Arabidopsis thaliana: one gene and its partners. The protein of the gene in region 1 interacts with the protein of each later gene in a pairwise test. Each region holds a gene or a part of one and is shown on either strand. Other genes may lie near its edges. The genes, in order: AT2G41450, AT1G22490, AT4G00270 and AT5G41030.

What was found.
Region 2: the proteins of AT2G41450 (region 1) and AT1G22490 interact in a two-hybrid assay, tested with the Arabidopsis thaliana proteins (one large-scale study listed by BioGRID).
Region 3: the proteins of AT2G41450 (region 1) and AT4G00270 interact in a two-hybrid assay, tested with the Arabidopsis thaliana proteins (one large-scale study listed by BioGRID).
Region 4: the proteins of AT2G41450 (region 1) and AT5G41030 interact in a two-hybrid assay, tested with the Arabidopsis thaliana proteins (one large-scale study listed by BioGRID).

The regions. Positions count from the first base shown.
Region 1 is NC_003071.7:17,276,498-17,282,371, reverse strand, and holds AT2G41450 (N-acetyltransferase), read right to left. Parts: upstream 4,225-5,874; 5' UTR 4,183-4,224; coding exon 4,134-4,182; intron 4,132-4,133; exon of another isoform or gene 4,048-4,131; coding exon 3,946-4,047; intron 3,741-3,945; coding exon 3,646-3,740; intron 3,540-3,645; coding exon 3,442-3,539; intron 3,268-3,441; coding exon 3,216-3,267; intron 3,012-3,215; coding exon 2,919-3,011; intron 2,673-2,918; coding exon 2,562-2,672; intron 2,428-2,561; coding exon 2,154-2,427; intron 2,035-2,153; coding exon 1,616-2,034; intron 1,537-1,615; coding exon 1,427-1,536; intron 1,329-1,426; coding exon 1,270-1,328; intron 1,191-1,269; coding exon 1,003-1,190; intron 924-1,002; coding exon 735-923; 3' UTR 542-734; downstream 1-541. Other genes in the region: AT2G41445 (agamous-like MADS-box protein), read right to left, coding at 5,042-5,213, 5,320-5,399, 5,488-5,530, 5,630-5,694, 5,820-5,870.
Region 2 is NC_003070.9:7,938,074-7,942,621, forward strand, and holds AT1G22490 (basic helix-loop-helix (bHLH) DNA-binding superfamily protein), read right to left. Parts: upstream 2,553-4,548; 5' UTR 2,417-2,552; coding exon 1,979-2,416; intron 1,513-1,978; coding exon 970-1,512; 3' UTR 524-969; downstream 1-523.
Region 3 is NC_003075.7:116,529-120,154, forward strand, and holds AT4G00270 (DNA-binding storekeeper protein-related transcriptional regulator), read right to left. Parts: upstream 2,116-3,626; 5' UTR 1,941-2,115; coding exon 1,707-1,940; intron 1,624-1,706; coding exon 949-1,623; 3' UTR 557-948; downstream 1-556. Other genes in the region: MEE45 (Transcriptional factor B3 family protein), read left to right, coding at 1-179, 224-523. UniProt on the Arabidopsis thaliana protein: DNA-binding protein, which specifically recognizes the GL1 enhancer sequence. May be involved in leaf initiation. May play redundant roles with GPL1 and GPL2 in cytokinin responses by regulating the transcript levels of type-A ARR response genes.
Region 4 is NC_003076.8:16,427,083-16,430,210, reverse strand, and holds AT5G41030 (TCP family transcription factor), read right to left. Parts: upstream 1,506-3,128; coding exon 774-1,505; 3' UTR 532-773; downstream 1-531. Other genes in the region: AT5G41025 (uncharacterized protein), read right to left, coding at 2,776-3,021; AT5G41020 (myb family transcription factor), read left to right, coding at 2,562-3,128.

The DNA of each region.
Region 1 (5,874 bases):
TTGGTTTTTTGAAATCAACAAACTCTAGAGATGACAACAAACATTTGGTGATTTCAAAAAAACAATGTTATTTAGAACATTAGAATTGATTTCTTTCTGATTCAAGTGTTGTCGATTTCAAAAAACATTTGGGAATCCATTTTGCGATTTAGAACATTAGAATTGTAATCTCTAACACAGATCCCAACAAATTCTAGCTCAAAAGCAGAAAGAGACAGATGAAGCAAAAAAGCTACGATTAACAAAGAGAATTAGCTGGAAAAAGGTTTTTAAGGAGCGATAATGGTGGAAATGGCACGAAACACGAACGGATCCATGTGCAAGCGAGAGAGCAATCCGAAATGTTTTAGCTTTGCCCTGGTGAGGGTAAAGATGTGTATTGGGCTGAGTTTTAGTCGGCCCATTACTGAGATGTGTATTGGGCTGAGTTTGAAACTCCTACGCTTATTCATTCATTGTTCTAAATGTTTGCGAAAATATCCCTCAGTTCTTTACCTTTTTGCGATTTAACCCTCAGTTTCCTTTCATATTTCAAAATTATCTCAAACTTTTAAATGTAACTTAAACCAACCTTCAAGTAACACATTTTTATTTTTATACATAAATAGACCGGCGACTTGAGTTTGCTTCTTAGCCTATCCATTCAACTTCCGACAATGTCTCTAAACATAAAAAGATAATAAGTGAGATTTTCCAAGCTAAAGATCATAGGAGGTTTCGAGTTCGAGTCATCATCATAAGGACTCAACAAACTGAGGAACTTGAAGATCAAGTTGTTGCTTCATGACACAGTTCATGAACCATTCGCTGCTGAATGTCCAAATTCCTTTCTTTGCTGCAAATAATGCCCCTACTGTGTCTTCTTCGCACCCTATGTATATCGCTTTTGACGCCTCCTTTACCTTATTCACTCCACTTATCACCTGCAGATAACACATGAATATTACAATGTTTTGGATTCAAATGTGAAACACTTGAAACAAGTTGTTAACTAATACTTACATTTCCACCAGCAGATTTGATGATAGCAGATGAAGTTTTGATAGGCAGTTCAATGTTAGGTCCAACGCATATGTCATATCCTTTTAGCAACGAGTTTGGTCTAGCTTTTGCTCTAAGAACTGTGCTTTTTAGATCAGTATCATATTTCAACTGGTAGTCTTCGTCATGCAGTATGTGTGAAGCTTCATCTATTAAACAAAAATAGTGTCAGCATTATAATTCATTAGTAAGTACCCATCAGAGATAGATAATTATATCTCATCTTACTAGCAAATCTTCCTTCTCGGACACTTTCTTTTAACCAACTTGGTGATACTATCCACGCCCTGCAAGCAAGTATGATGGACCATAAACCGCGTCATTCCTATGATTTTACGCATAAGTTCACAATGGCTAATATGATGCCTGTATATTTGAGACTAACCCAGAGCAAAGAGCAGTGCAGAGATTCAGAGTTTTCCTGACTTTTCCGGTGACAATATGCGTGCTCGTTGTGCCATCCAAGGTCACAGTACCACCAAGTTTTCTTATTACCTGCATAGAAATCAGAAGACAACGTAAGGTGGATACAAAACCCATTTAAGGAACAAATAACTCAGAAAGATTTATATACCTCTGTTAACCAAGCTCTCTTGTTTTCATCACAAATGTCCATCAACAAGATTCTATAGTGTTGTCCATTTGGACGAGCTTCCATGTCTATCCCAGTTGCCATTCTACATTGTTCAACGTCGTTTCTTTTGCAGATTGTGGGCAGGGAATCCTTGGTTATATCTACTTGGGAGGAATTACCATCTTTCGATTGCTTTGCAGAGCTCTGAGCCAAATCTGTTTTTGCTATCTCAGAGTTATTATTGTTGTTTGCCCGAATCCTTTTAGATTGTAGAGAGGACAATGAAGCTTCCCAAGATCTCTTTAAGCCTGGTGTTGAACATTTGGTCTCACTGTCAGCTGTGGTAGCTTGATCAGAGATCACGTTGTTGTTTTCCTTTCCTGTGATCGAGTCCATTGGACTTCTGATACCAGAGATACCTGTGTACGGCACATTATAACAGAAACTTCAGAGACATATTCAAATGCTTCATGATGTGGTATCTTCTTCAGAGACATTCTCTTAGGCTATTTGACGAAAGAAATAGTTTTAAACTTACAGTCAAGATATACGCTTTCACCAAAGCTCTCTCTCAGTTTAACTGAATCTCCAGTCACAGGACCTGTGCTATTATTTCTTGCCGAGAGTGGAGATCCCTCACACTGATATTTCCATGAAGAGGAAATCTCAAGGTTTGAAATAAATTCCTTGTTCAGATGAGAAAGCATGAGAGTTGAACCGCCAGGAAAACACAAGGCTTTTCGAATATTAGACTTAATGTGCAACCCCTTTGCTTTTCCTTTGTGGTCTACCTCTGCTAATTTTATAAACCCCTGAAAATTCGTAAAGTAATATAAGAAACCAAACAGTCAAAGCACTTAAAAAAGATAGTTTAGTTTGAATCCAACAAACTAATAAAGATAAAACACCAACAACCATAAACATAGTGATAAAGTGATAATATCACCTGTTTAAGCCAGAATCCTTCAGATTCTTTGTCTGCCCAACAATATATAGTTCGAATGCCAACACTATGAAGCCTCTTCATTAATTCTTCATAGACGAGCTTACCAAATCCCTGAAAATGTATTAAAAGAAACTCATCTATTTAGTTTTTGATGAGGTTTCTAGCACGCTATTTTTAGTAAAACCAGTTGCAGAAAGAAAAAGTTTACAGTTCTAAGAAGCACTTAAAACCAAGTATGCAATATCTAATACATAAACTTATAGACATGAACTATTAAACACAAGACCTTTAGTAAAAGCGTTGCACAAAAAAAGCTATTACAACAGTAAGTGTCAAAAGAGTCAGAGCAAAACGAACCTTTTTCTGGTGTGTATATGTTACAGCAGCAAGAGGTATCTCAGCATACTGTGTATCAGCAGGGACTATTTGATAAGTGATTGCAGCTAAGATCTACAAAAGCACACGCCAAATAATCAATTCAGATGTGGTAAAGCAGACAATCTAAAATACGATTCATTGGCAGATTGAATAAAACAGATTCTTCCTATTGGAACAAAACAGCATGCTGGTTAGAATAATACGTCTCTTCAAGATTCTTCCAAGGCCTAGGCTGCTTTTGATCAAGAACTTACTAAACCAAAGCTTATTAATTACCTCATCTGAGTCTCCACCAAGCGTGGACTTCAAAACCAATGAACAATACTTTCTGCAAGATAATGCAATTCAAATAAATACAGCATTAGATAACTCTTCCATTCATATCAAAAATGGGTTCCGTTCTCAATGTTTTTATTAGTGACAAACGGCCAAAAGAAGTCTCTATACTTAAAAGTCCAGCTTGAAACATAAAGAAAGGTTATGATAAAGAGACGATTTTTACCCTTTAGAGACACATCTCTCAAGAAATGCAGATTGCTTCCCAGTGTTTGAAGCATATCTCATGTCAGGTAACTCTTTGCTATATAACTTCAAAACTTCCTGAATGAGTTAAGTTAATAGTACTTATGAGCAATAGATTCCCTAAAGTAATGCCTTTTTCTCAAAAGAAACCAATTTTTAAGTGCTTTGGTAAGATTCCACTTACTTGGAGATGAGATTTGGTAAAATCATCTTCATCCCGAGGATTAAGAAGAAGAAACATGTCTTCTTTCGGATAATCAGAAACGATTTTATCCTTCTCTAAACAAAACCAAACAAGAAACTAAGTAAGATATTATGCAGAAAAGTTGACAACTTGAACGTTTGTTACACATTTTGCTAGTAGCCGCATAACATCAATAGATGAAATTGAATTAGATAATCAAATCATAGAGCCCAAAATGACTAACAATCAAATTAGAGTGGAAAAAAAACAAAACCGCAAGAATCCAAATTCTAGACGAACCTGAGATTTTTACTCTGTAGTTTCTGGGAAATTTAATTTGAATGCTTTTGGGTCCAGATTCACAGGTGAAATTCTTACCATCCACTGCAACCTCGTAATCACCTGGAGAAATCGAATCAAAACACACGAAGATTCATTTGATTGATCGGAGTATTCTGAATAAAATCAAGGGCTTTCCGAGTTCTTACCGATAGAGTACAGAGAAGACTGCATCGGCGATGCTCTCTTTGGCGCCATTGTAAAAATTCAGAGCGGGATTTCAAATAATTTACTTTTCAGAAAACTGGAAAAAAAAACGAAACGTCGAGTGTATAAATAAGTTTATCAGAGGGTATTTTCGTATTAACATAGGTGTCTTAAAGCTCTGTTCTAGCCAAAGCGCTGCGTTTTGGAGCGTTTCTGATCGTCTGACTAATCATTTGTTCGAATGTCAAATCGACGACTTGTGGAGTCAAAAAACCAAATCTTCAAGAGTCAAGACGAGACTTTTCGCATCAAACGAAAAAACCCGAATGTTATAGGTTTTTTTAGGTAATTTAAGTATTTTGGTTACATTTGGATAAAAAGTAACCAATATATTTACTGATAATCGGGTATTTTGGGTAGATTTAAGTATATGTGAGTAAAAAATCCCGAATCCGACCCAAACCCGAAAATATTTTGGATATTTTTGGTTATTTTTATATTTTTACTAAAATAACTAAACCGACCCGAATCTGAACCAAATTTTTAGAATACCCGAATAGTTCTCAACCTCCTATCCGAATAGACCCGATACCCGAAAAAAAAGAACCGATCCCGAACGCCCACGCCTAATTTTGAGGATCAAGGTGATGTTGATAGAAGAGGTCGGAAAGTTCTAAGTATGAAGCAAAAAAATGATATAACAGAAATCTGTAACATGCCACGACTATGATAATAGATTAGTAAATTTACTTAAGACATATTAAAATCAACTAAGAGAGGCCCGACATGAGGAAAGTCAGGATTGACGATAAACTAAAATAGAAATAGAGAAACCAGAAGTCACTTAAGAGTCTCATAGAAAGATTTGATGGCCGGGTGTGGCCTTCTGAGCTTTCATCGTCCCTCGCGCTCAGCTCCGGCCGGGAACCTCTCTTAACAGATATCTGCGCTTCTTAGCGATTTTTTCCATTGTTGGTGCATACATATGCTCGTGCAACTCCTGCAATCCATGTACTATCTTAGCTTGAAGTAAGGCCAGCTCGGCATTGTTCATACCGTCGAGCTGTCTACCGTTCATTCTCCTGTCAGTTTTCACGAAAAGAAGGAAAAAGAAACAAACCATCAGAAACAAAGTGAAACTGACATCGACTCTGTAGAGAGCAACAAGTGGGATGGCGACGCATTTACTCCTTCAACAGCCATAATCTCCCGTATTCGATCATCATGGGTTCAGCATTTCGTCTCTCGAATTGTAGCTGCAGTTGCGACTGCAATAAAAGATGCACAAGTATAACAAGACAATGTGGGGTAAAGAGAGAGGCATGCAGGACTGTGAAAGAATATTAATATACATACCAGCGGTGGTGCTGGTGCTTCATCACCTTGTCTCTCACCCGTGCTGTAGATATACCAAGACCAAATCAGGCTTTAATGGGGCACCAGACAACTACAACTTAGAACCAAAAATTCCTACTTAAGCTAGGAAGGAGGAGACAACCTGCTGGTAGAGAATTTGCAGGGAACAGAAACCTCTCTCCCCATACCATCCTCTGCGTCCTTCCTCTACAAAAAATGTAAGAAAGCTTCAAACATGGAAGATATTACAAGAATCAACATGAACAGCAGCTCCTAGCAGATTCACAAACAATAATTTCATAGGGCAGATGAAGTGCCTAGGAAATGTTTACCCGTATAAGCATCCACCCATCATCTTCTTTAAGCAGCTGCTCTATCTTCTTCTGT
Region 2 (4,548 bases), on another chromosome or scaffold:
CACAAACTTTAAAAGTTCTAGAAAAAGACGAATTCATCTTTGAAGAAAATAAATTCAAAAATTAATCAATCATACTATTAATCATTATAATTATACACTAAACACAACCCTAAAAACACTGAGAAGTACATTAGGCGTAGGCCTAACGGCTATTAGCGCCCAATGTCACATACTTATCGACTTAAACCATTTTCTTTTATTCAATTTTTTTGTTCAGATCTTTATGACCATTGATTCATTACAAGAGACAAAAATGCAACTTACATAGGGAGGATTAGAGGAATAGTGAAAAAAAAAAAAAATTAGAAAACTGATTTCAGTTATTTCAAAATAAAATAAAAATAAAACAAGTTAATTATAATCTATTTGCTGAATTATGTCTCTTCTTGAATCCTCCTTATGGTTTGATTCAAAGCTGTTGCAATGTCGTCCACGGTATTCAGTTGGCTTCCTTCTTCAACCTGAACCAACACATTTTCTCTTAAGAAATAAAGATATACATAACAATTCTTGAAAAAAGTTGCAACAAACAAAATTAGAAGGATGTAGATAACTATAACAAAATATCTTTCTATTTGCTAAATATCTCCTGAAACAAATGGTGGACTCACTTCGTTGTCCGTACATATCTCATCTACAATTATGTGACCACCGAACATATATCCACAGTACATAAACATATACATAAACATATATAAATACACAACACCACGTATACAATTCGTGGATATAGATAGACACATATTCGTGTTTCGTTTCTTTAGGTTGGTCCCCTGATTCTTACAGGCACGATTAAGATACGCAATTTATTATTGACAAAAATAATAATCAAAATGATGATTATGAGTTTGACCCACAACTATTGAGGCCCCAGCCCTAAGTACCCAAAGGAGGTAAGAAAAAAACAAAGAGAATGATTTTAATTTTTCTTCACAACCTTTTTAAAGCCCAGGCATAACCACAATAGTACTAATCCAAAATTTCCCCCCAACAATAAGAGACAAAAAAATAAATCAACAAAGTGAAACCATATGCACCACACACACAGTCATTACTCACTTTAATCTCATGATTACCCCAAAAGCAAACAAAGTAATGATGAGAAGTTGAAAATGTACGTACCCTGACGCTGATGGAGTAGAGAATGGAGTTGTGGAGAGTGGTGACATTGAGATGAAGAAGAGTGAGCCTTAGGCTTTGTAAAGAAGTTATGAGCTTAAGAAGCTGCCTCGGTTTCTTCTTCGTCATTATCTTGATGTTCGCATGGCTTTCTGCCACCGTAACCTCTATCTCCGCCGGTGAAGATGAGCTTTCCGGTACATCTGATGATGACTTTGTAGAATATTGTGGGAAGCTGAAAAAATCTGTGAATGGACCCACTAACGAGCTAGTGCTAGTCTTGTCTCCTTTGGGATCATGAGTCCTAGTTCTCTTCGGCTCCATAGATTGTAAAATATGCTCTAACTCCTTCACGTAGTTTATAGCTCCTCCTACTATCGACGCTTGATCTCCCTTTACCACCAAAACCCGCTCATGTCAGATCATATAGTTATCATAAAGATTGAAAAAATCTTTGAATGTATAAATATACACACACACGTATCATTGCTAATTGCTTAAGTTTATTACGAAATTGTTCTAAAACATATCCCAATATTCTCAATCATACTCGTTCTAATTTTTGGTGACACATAATATTTTATTTTAAAAAATACATTAAAATATGTAACAGCAAAGATTATTAGTATGTATATAAACGCGTCACCCTTCCATATTTACGGTGGATTTTCTTGTTAATATATTGTATAAAAACATCAATATATATTCTCAGTCATTTTCATTCTATTCTTTTGTGTTAATATATTATGGAGAAATGAGTACTACAGCCAAGCAAGTAATAAAACAAAGACACATATACCTAAGAATGACCCTGACCAAATGATATATAGCATATATAAACATTGAATTAGTAAGTTACTCTTTGAGCATACGACGACGGCATTAGAGAACGGAGCACAGCCAGATACTCGTTCATCTGTTTCCGGCGATTTCTCTCGACGGCGATGTGAGTCATTCTCTGGTTCTCGATCTCTTCCTTGTTCTTGCAGTTTCTCGTTCTCCTCCTCTTCCTCCGGTGCTGTGGAGGAGGATGACTCTCCACATCAATGGCGGTAAGACCAAGCTCTTCTCCCAACGAAGGGATCAACAAAGGATACTGATGATAGTCTCGCCATTGATGATCGTCCTCCTTACCTTGTTCCACAAAGCTCTGTTCATGCCCTAACTTATCAATGTTGTTCTTCGTATCTTGAGCTACGAACTCTTCTTGAGAGTATAAGTCGTGGAACATAAAATCTTTGCAATTGGAGAGATATCCGAATGGATCTTGCGGGTATACGACAGCCTCTAAGGGCATTTTTTAGCCGGAGATTGTTGAAAAGAAAAATTCAGAATTATGGAAAAAATAAGAAAGATTGAGAAACCGAGAGAGGGAGAGAGAAGGAGAGAAAACAAAATTTAGACAGGAAGTGTTTGTCGCTCTCCTTTTTGTCTCGAGGGGGAAATAAAGGCAAAAGGGTTAAGCCCACTAAAGGAAACTAAGCATGGTATTAGTTATATGAAGATTTTTTGTAAATTGATTTACAAAATATTAAATTCTCAAGAACTCACCGGCATGGAGGAAGAATAGGAGAGTGAATCTTCAACAAAAATAAATATACAAAAGAAAGATATGAGAGTGAAAACCGAAATATGAGGATCAAACAAAGTGGTGTGATTTATTTAAAAAGGGAATTGAGAGAAGCTTTGTGAGGCTATTAATTTTTTTTTTTTTTTTTTTGATGCTCTCACAGTTGACCAAAAATAAATGCTCCCGCAGAGATCAAAAACGAAAAGAAAAATAAAACTAAAGAAAAGATGTATTTGTCACCAATATATATATAAAAAACACTGAAAAGGAGATATAAAGTGCACTTGTAATAATCATCCCAATTGTATTTAAATAACTTGTTCATAATAATTAGAGGTTAAGAAAATAAAGAAAAAAATTGTTCATAATGTTTTTAATATAAATTAGTTTTATTATATAGTAATTTTATTATTAAGATGTTAATTGTTTGGAACTATTCCTAAAAACCCATAATCTTTCTTAGTTCAAAATCAAATAAATAATAAATAATTTATTAAGAAATGGTAAAGCTGATATAGTGGGCAGTGAATTTATATTGACGTTCGAGTGAAAGAAAACTGGTGCTGGACTGCTGGTGGTGATCATAACCAGTTAAAACCTCTTTCGAGTTTTTCCGAATATGTATAGTGTAAGGATACACAGATGGTGATGGCTAAACTACTTAAAATTCTAAATATAGCAAAAAATTAATAGAAAAAACAATAGTTCGTTAGTACTAATATGTCATGTTGCGGATTACTTTAACCAAAAAAAAAGTTACGGACTACTTTAACAAATTTTTTTGTTGCGGATTAGCGTTTTCGCCAAAAAAAAATTAAGACGTGCAATTCTACGTCAGTCGGACAAGTGAGTGATACAATAAAACGAAAATGTGAAATTTTCAATTGGACCATAAAAATTCTAAAGCATTATATATATACAGTTACATGCTACTTGTAAACAAAGTTATTTGAGTTTCCAGTTAGGACGGTCTACGCCAATTAATTTTTAGTTCTACGCATTCACATCTGGTAACAATTTTTTTGGTTTGAAAATTAAAATTCTACCAGATATTACCTTAGAATATCTATCCAACTTCGTGGAATTAGATCCATTATCTATGGTTACTAATTACTATTTAGATACATAGATGCATATAGATAAATGTATACATTGCAGCGTCAAGTTTGCACGTGAGATAGTAGTAGACCAGTCCACAAGACCAAATAATCTGTTTGCAGGTTGGGGGTCGTCTAGTTACACTCATGTTCTATTATTTTACTTTAAACAAAAATATAATGTATTTCCATATCAAATATATGGTTAAGTATCCGATTAAAATTAAAAATCTTTAAAACAAATGTTTGTCAGAAAATACACAACCAATAGAAGATTTATTTTGGCCGGTGGGGATCACTTTATGTCAGGTTTTAACAAATTTGTTTCGTGATGTTATTAAAAATATATTTAAATCGAGATATTTACTTGCATGTTATAAAATGATGGTCTATTAAAAATCTTTTGTCACTACTTTTCAACATCAAAAACCAAAAAAGTTATGTATATAAATTAGGTGGCATCTTTTGATTATTCTGATCTAATCACTCTGGGAATATATAATAGTAGAAATCAATTTTGATATGAAAACAAAATTTAAAGAATTAGATAGATGTGACTAGGCTGCGTTTTGTAATCAAATTTGGTCGGACACTTGGAATCTTAAAATCTGAACCAATTTGCCGAAAAAATAAATAATATGTGAACATAAAACTGCAGGACAAACTTTTCATGATGATACAAAGAATCTTGTTGTATGCACTTCAAATTGAATTTAAGCTATAGTAATCTTGTCTCCTTTGAATACGTGTACCTAATGTTAT
Region 3 (3,626 bases), on another chromosome or scaffold:
TACGTTTGATCCCCAACGAGCCAGAAGAAGCTAATGAAGTAGTCTCTCTTTCGACAGAGCAAGAAAGCGATGAAGAGAGTATCCACGACGAGAAAATCTCAAGAAGAAAGTCTTTACTATCCGAAAACCGATTTGTGACATTAACTCTAACACCTTATACAATCCAAAGTTCTCTACTGGTACGTTTCATCATTCCAAGCCATTGTCTTTTAACAGTCTATAGAATGAGAATCTTTTGTGTGAATCTATGTTTCAGCGTCTTCCGGTTCCTTTCACGAGGATGAATGGTATCAATGAAGAAACTAAAATGACTCTGTTGGATAAACATGGTGTGAAGTGGTTAACGACTCTGCGGTTCGAGGACGACAAAAGAAAAAGACTACGAATGGTAGGAGGATGGCAAGGATTCATCCAAGCTAACGATGTGAAGGCAAACGAATCCATCATGTTGGAACTGATTTGGGAAGAAGAAACAAGTTGCGTCCTTAAGTTCTGCTCCAAGGTGAAGCTAGAAATCAAATGAAACTCTATATTGAAATGAATCAATGTTTGACTCTTTTATTTGGTAAGATATAACTCTTAAGGTTTCATTGTCTTAGAGAGTAAGAACAAAAACCATTTTTCTTTTAATCTTCTACATTGTTAATATCTTGGATAATATTACAAGACACACACACACTCTTACTTATACTACTTCACTACACTCTTAGGCACACACACAAGCATGCCTTAAAGCACATTATTAACCCTAGACTCTAGACTCTTGCACAAGCCACTCTACTACATTGGCTCTTGTGGATACTTGAGTAAAAAGTGGAATATCTTACAAACACTTGCCCAAGTAGAAGAAAGACAGGATCCAAAGATAAATACACTGAACAGACTAGAGCTTATGACTTACTAAGAACCTAAACAACACCAAATGCTACAAGGGCATATTGGTTTCATCTAACTATCATTAGCTGCCTCTGCAAGCTTGGCGGAAAATCTAAGCTTCTTGATATTGAATCTTGTTTCCTCAACACATAACGCTTTCCATTCATCACTCAACTCTCTTCTTTTACCATTTCCAAGGTTCATCAGCTTCTCAAGCTGCAACTTCTTTTGATAACCACTTAAACCTTGCGACATCACCGCCTCAAATGCATCCTGCACCGCGCATAACTCATCATCATCATCATTGTCCTCATCATGTCTCTCTTTTCCACTACTAGTCCCATTCTCTGTTGTTTTGGCTGCCCCATTCTCATTTAAAAGTTCAGTATTAGCCACTTCCTCCTCGTGCTCCTTCAACATCTCCTCCCCGCTCTCGTTAGTCCGGTTTTCCGCTGCACCATTTCCGTTTACCTCGTGCTCCTTATCCATACCATCATCATCACCTTGTCCCCAAATCATCGAAGAAAACCCAAAGGCTTCAGAATCACTAGACCTAGTAAATTTGGGATCATTCCCTTGATTGATTTTCTCCGAGTGAACATGAAACCTCCTTTTCAACTTCCTGATTTTACTCAAAACCTGATCCTTGGAGAATCTCTCAACGATAGAACTTCCGAGGAAACTACAAAACGCATCCCAATCAATTTTGGGATTGAATCCTGTCTTAGCTCTGTAATCAACTAACCCCTGAGCAATTTCGAAAATCTGGTTTTAGAAAATCACAATGCAAAACCAAATCAAACTATAAATGGAGAAGATCAATACAATACCTTTAAGATAGAGAGCTCATCTTCCTCGTTCCAGATCCGGACGATCAACGGCGGATCCAATTTCTTCTTCTTCTTCTTCATCTTCATCTTCTTCTTCATAGTCTCTTCTTCTGCGACGGAAGCAGCACGCTTTGAGGAAGGAATATTCCGTGGAGATCTTCGATGGGAGAGGGTACCGTTGGAGTTATCAGCACCAACACAGGAAGAGAAATCGATCTGCTTCGGAGTCACCATGCTTATTGCTTGCTTTAGACTTGCTGATTCTAGGGCGCATGCAGAGCAGTGATTCCCAATCTTCACGACCTTTAAAAAGTGAAACCCGAGAGAAAAAGAAAAGCAAAATAGGATGAGTAACACTTGGCCATACTTTTCTCAACATTCATAACAAAACAAACACTTTCATCTTTTTTTCTACTGTTTAATATTCATCAATAGTACAATTTTGCTCTTGCAAAAATCTATCATTTTAGTCACTTAATAGTATAAAATATTTTATCTACCTTTTTTATATAATAAATTAAAATTTAGTTTTTTCTACATTTTAAGATTCATTGCTGATATATTTTAAGTAAATAATTATATTATATATTATCCATTTCTGATTGAATATTTTTTTATTATTAAATAGATATTAAAAGGTATTTGAACAAAACATATTACACGATAAATTAATAAATTTTGTCGGTCTCAAATCGGGGTAATGTAAAAATTAACCAAAATCGATAAGATAATAAGATAATATTTTTTTTGAAATCCCTATGTAAAAATATGGTACCAGTAATATCATAAAATTAATAATCATAAATCTTTAGCATACATTCAAAGACTAATTTTATATGAAACTTTTGTTCAAGTCATAATTGCAACTCTTTCTAGAGTATAGTTGGTGTGATCTCTTTTGTATTCACATAACTCTTTGCGTATTTGATCCGTCATATTTGGTTTTGTAACTTTTTTTATATGAAAAATCATTGTTAAGATTTGTGTAATAAAAAATTGGATTAAGTCTCACGTTAACGTCGTATACATGCACAATATCTTACAGAGAAAAAATAAAAAAAGTAATAAAAAAAAATCTAACAGAATATACAAACAATAAAACATAAAGAAAAACTAAATTAAAATTTTTCTTTTTAAAAAATTAATATTGTATTTTACGTATAAATTTTTATAAATTAATAAATGTACTACTATCATAGTAACACCTACAAACTGATATGCATATATACACAAATGAGAGTTAACACTATATATATATCGATTGTACCTTGTGTAGTGGAACACTTTATTGTTGTAAATACATAATCCTCAACTATTAGTGTCTATGTATGTCAAACAAATGAAACAATGAAAGCAATCCAAATTAAATGAACAGATTACAATGTAAAATGCCTTCATCCATCTCCGCCATTAGCATGATAGGAACTTGTACTCGATTTCGAGATCCAAGGAATATTACAAAAGGAACGTAACCGTGCTTCTTTATGATCTTCACCACCTCAAGAAGGACCTCTTGTTATATTGTATAGCTCCTCTTTTCCCTGAGACAAATGACCACAATTCTAATGTAAAAAGATCACATCAAGCGACACAATACTCCATCGGTCAAAGATCATTCTTTTAGCCAAAACTTCATTGATTAAGGCTTTGAATGGGAGGGAAGCAGAAAAAATACATGTTTACCTTTGCATATAGTGCTCCTATTATCAAGACATTATTTCTGTATTTTCCTTTTTGTTTTAATATTTAGAGTTAAGATTTCTGTTATTTAAAAACAGTTGATCTATGCATGCAGTCCTTCTCTTACCAAGACATCATTCATGTATTTTTATTTTTGTTTTAACATAACATTTTTGTTATTTAAAATCAGTTGACATGTGCATGTAGTGCTTATGTTACCAATACATCATTTATGTATTT
Region 4 (3,128 bases), on another chromosome or scaffold:
ACTGCAAAACAGCTTCTCCATCCACATATAATCAGAAAGATTGAGTTTTAATAGTAATGTATATTTGTATTTTTGCATTTGTTATCAACTTTTTTTTAAAATACGGATGGACTTTTAGGCCCTAATCAAATGTTAATGATTTGAGAAGTTTGGTTTCAGATTAGTTCTAGATCGCATTCGAATATTTTTCGGCTTATACTGTCATTGAGGCCCATTTCATTGATTATGGGCTGTTGACACAATACAATAAGAACATCGTACAGTTTCACTGTTCTCGTGGAAGGACGCGGATTGTTTTTCACCCAAGAAAACGTAGCGTAGTCCAAATTCTATCAGCAAGCCAGCTTCTGGGCAAAGAAACAAGATGAATTTCTAACTAAGGCAAAAACTTTCCTTTGTACAACGAAACTCAATCATCAGAGTGTTTGCTTAATTATGCAGAGAAGCCTCCATTCAGTACAGTTTAAAGAGCAGAACTTACTTCTTAACTTTATAAAGTAATCAGTACATCAAAGCTATTGATTAAAGAAAGGTCGAGCAAAATAAACTATGAATGAGCACATTGAGATTTCAGCAAAACCATATTTCATCTTCTCACTTTATGTATGCACAATCTAAAGCAAACGCCAAAAAAGGTTTGAGCTTTAGGAACCATTGTTCTCTTGCTGATCGAAGTAAAATAAGCTATGAATAAGCTATCAAGTTTGAGATTTCACTAGCAATCACATTCTCGCTAAATATATCTAATTAAAAGCCATTTAAAGGTTTGAGCTTTATGAACCATTTTCCTCTGCACTCTGCTGCTGATCTTCATGTGAATGATGATGAAGAACCCTGAACTGTTCTTTACCCATTTGTTGAAAAACCTGTGGATTCAAAACCCCAACTTGAGACAGCCTTAATTCAAGTCCAGGCGTTTGATTATCTCCAAAACCAATCTCTGGAACACCATTGAAATCAAACCCAATTCCGTAATTCAGATCAAACCCTCCAATGGTCTGTCCTGTTTCATTTCTCCACAACCCATTTGCCTCCATTTGAGTCCTTGAAGCTTCTTCAACGCTATGACAAATCATCAAATCAGCCGTGAGAGGAGGTTGAGAAACAACAGACTCAGTGGGTTTGATACCATTTACAGTAGCAGAGAGTATCGATGGCTCAGCATGTTGAAGCAACCATTCAAGAGTCTCACCATCTGATTTGTGACCTAATTCTTTAGTCAATTGATAAATCCTTGCTGCACAGAGTGGAGGTAACCTAACTCTACGACCTCTTCCTTCAACTTTAAGGTGACGATCTTTGTTTGGTTTCTTCTTCTCCTTCTCATAAAGAATCTGAATTTCTTGGTCTTCCTCTTCATTCTCCTTCTTCTTCCTCTTTTCGCCGACCACAATGTCGAAACCTTTAACCTCTGTTTGTTTCCTCTTCTTGTCGTTGTCCTGATTCTGTCGTGATGGGTTTAAGAAACTTGGTAGATTTTGGTTCTTCTTGGGCTCCATGACCATGTCAAGGTGTGGGGACGTACTTCTCTCTCTCTCTCAGATTCAAGGTGGGGCGTGTGTTGTGACCTCTTGACCTAAGTAAAAAAAAAGGGTAACAACTTTTTATTATTTTCACGCATTATTTTATTTTTTTTACATAATTAGAAGTTCTATAATCACGAAATATTCTTACTTACCGAATGAATTCCAATCCAAAGAAAAAAAAAAAAAAAAAAAAATAAAAAAAAAAATTCCAATCCAAAGCTCAATCAAATCAACATGGCAACATCCATGAGAGTTAACAAGGGCAAAATTAAATAATATGAAAACATTAGAAAAATTTAGTTTTGAGCATAAATCACACATTAAAAAGAATTTATTTAAATCAAAAGAGGTTATCAACATCATTAAAAACTAAGTTTTACATTCTTTCATCACTTGATAATAAGGTCAAAACTCAAAACAAACCTTTGTGTTTATGTTTTTTTATATCAGTTTTCGATTATATATGTTTAGTATGTTCTTCAATTGCATCCCTTTGATGAAAACTAGCTTTGTCCCAAATGATCATGTAAGATCCAAACTCCACCACACAAAACATTGAAGTTAATCCAAGAAGATTCTACATTTTTAAATACTTTTCCCAAGGTCTCTTATATACTGATTTATTCTAGTAGTAATTATTTGATTTCTTTTTCTTCCAAATCATTTAGAAATTTCACAATATAACCACCAACTTTGTAAGTTGTAACATAAGTGATAGAAATTAGATCAAACTCTTGTTAAAACTTGATAACGTCAAGAGCAATACGTTGGGCCTAGTAGTACTCAAGCCCCAAATATGGGTAGTGGGTCATTGAAGACCCAAGTTCAAAGGAATTTTTTTTAACAAAAGTAATTAAATACCCTAATCATCTCAAATTCATGAAGGAAGCCGCCGTATCCAAAAGCTCCTTCACAATCAATCTCAGCATCGCTGTGTCTTAAAATCACTCAATCGAAATTCGGATTTAGATTTGAGCGAAAGTCGCGGCGGTTTTTGTGATTAGGGTTTCGTAACCGTGTCCGCCGGTATATGAGATGGCTGAGGAGAAGAAGAATAAGAAGAAAAAGAGTGACGCTAAGGTTGATTCTGAAGAAACCGGTGAAGAATTCATTTCCGAGCACAGTTCTATGAAGGATAAGGAAAAGAAGAGGAAGAAGAATAAGCGAGAGAATAAGGATGGTTTTACTGGAGAAGATATGGAGATAACTGGGCGTGAAAGTGAGAAACTAGGTGATGAGGTTTTTATAGTTAAGAAGAAGAAGAAGTCGAAGAAGCCAATAAGGATTGATTCTGAAGCTGTTGATGCTGTGAAGAAGAAATCGAAAAAGAGAAGTAAGGAGACAAAGGCTGATTCCGAAGCTGAGGATGATGGTGTGGAGAAGAAATCCAAGGAGAAAAGTAAGGAGACAAAGGTTGATTCTGAAGCTCATGATGGTGTGAAGAGGAAGAAGAAGAAGAGCAAGAAAGAATCTGGTGGTGATGTGATAGAAAATACTGAAAGCTCCAAAGTATCTGATAAGAAAAAGGGAAAAAGAAAGCGGGATGATACTGATTTGGGAGCTGAAGAAAACATAGACAAGGAGGTGAAGAGGAAGAACAAC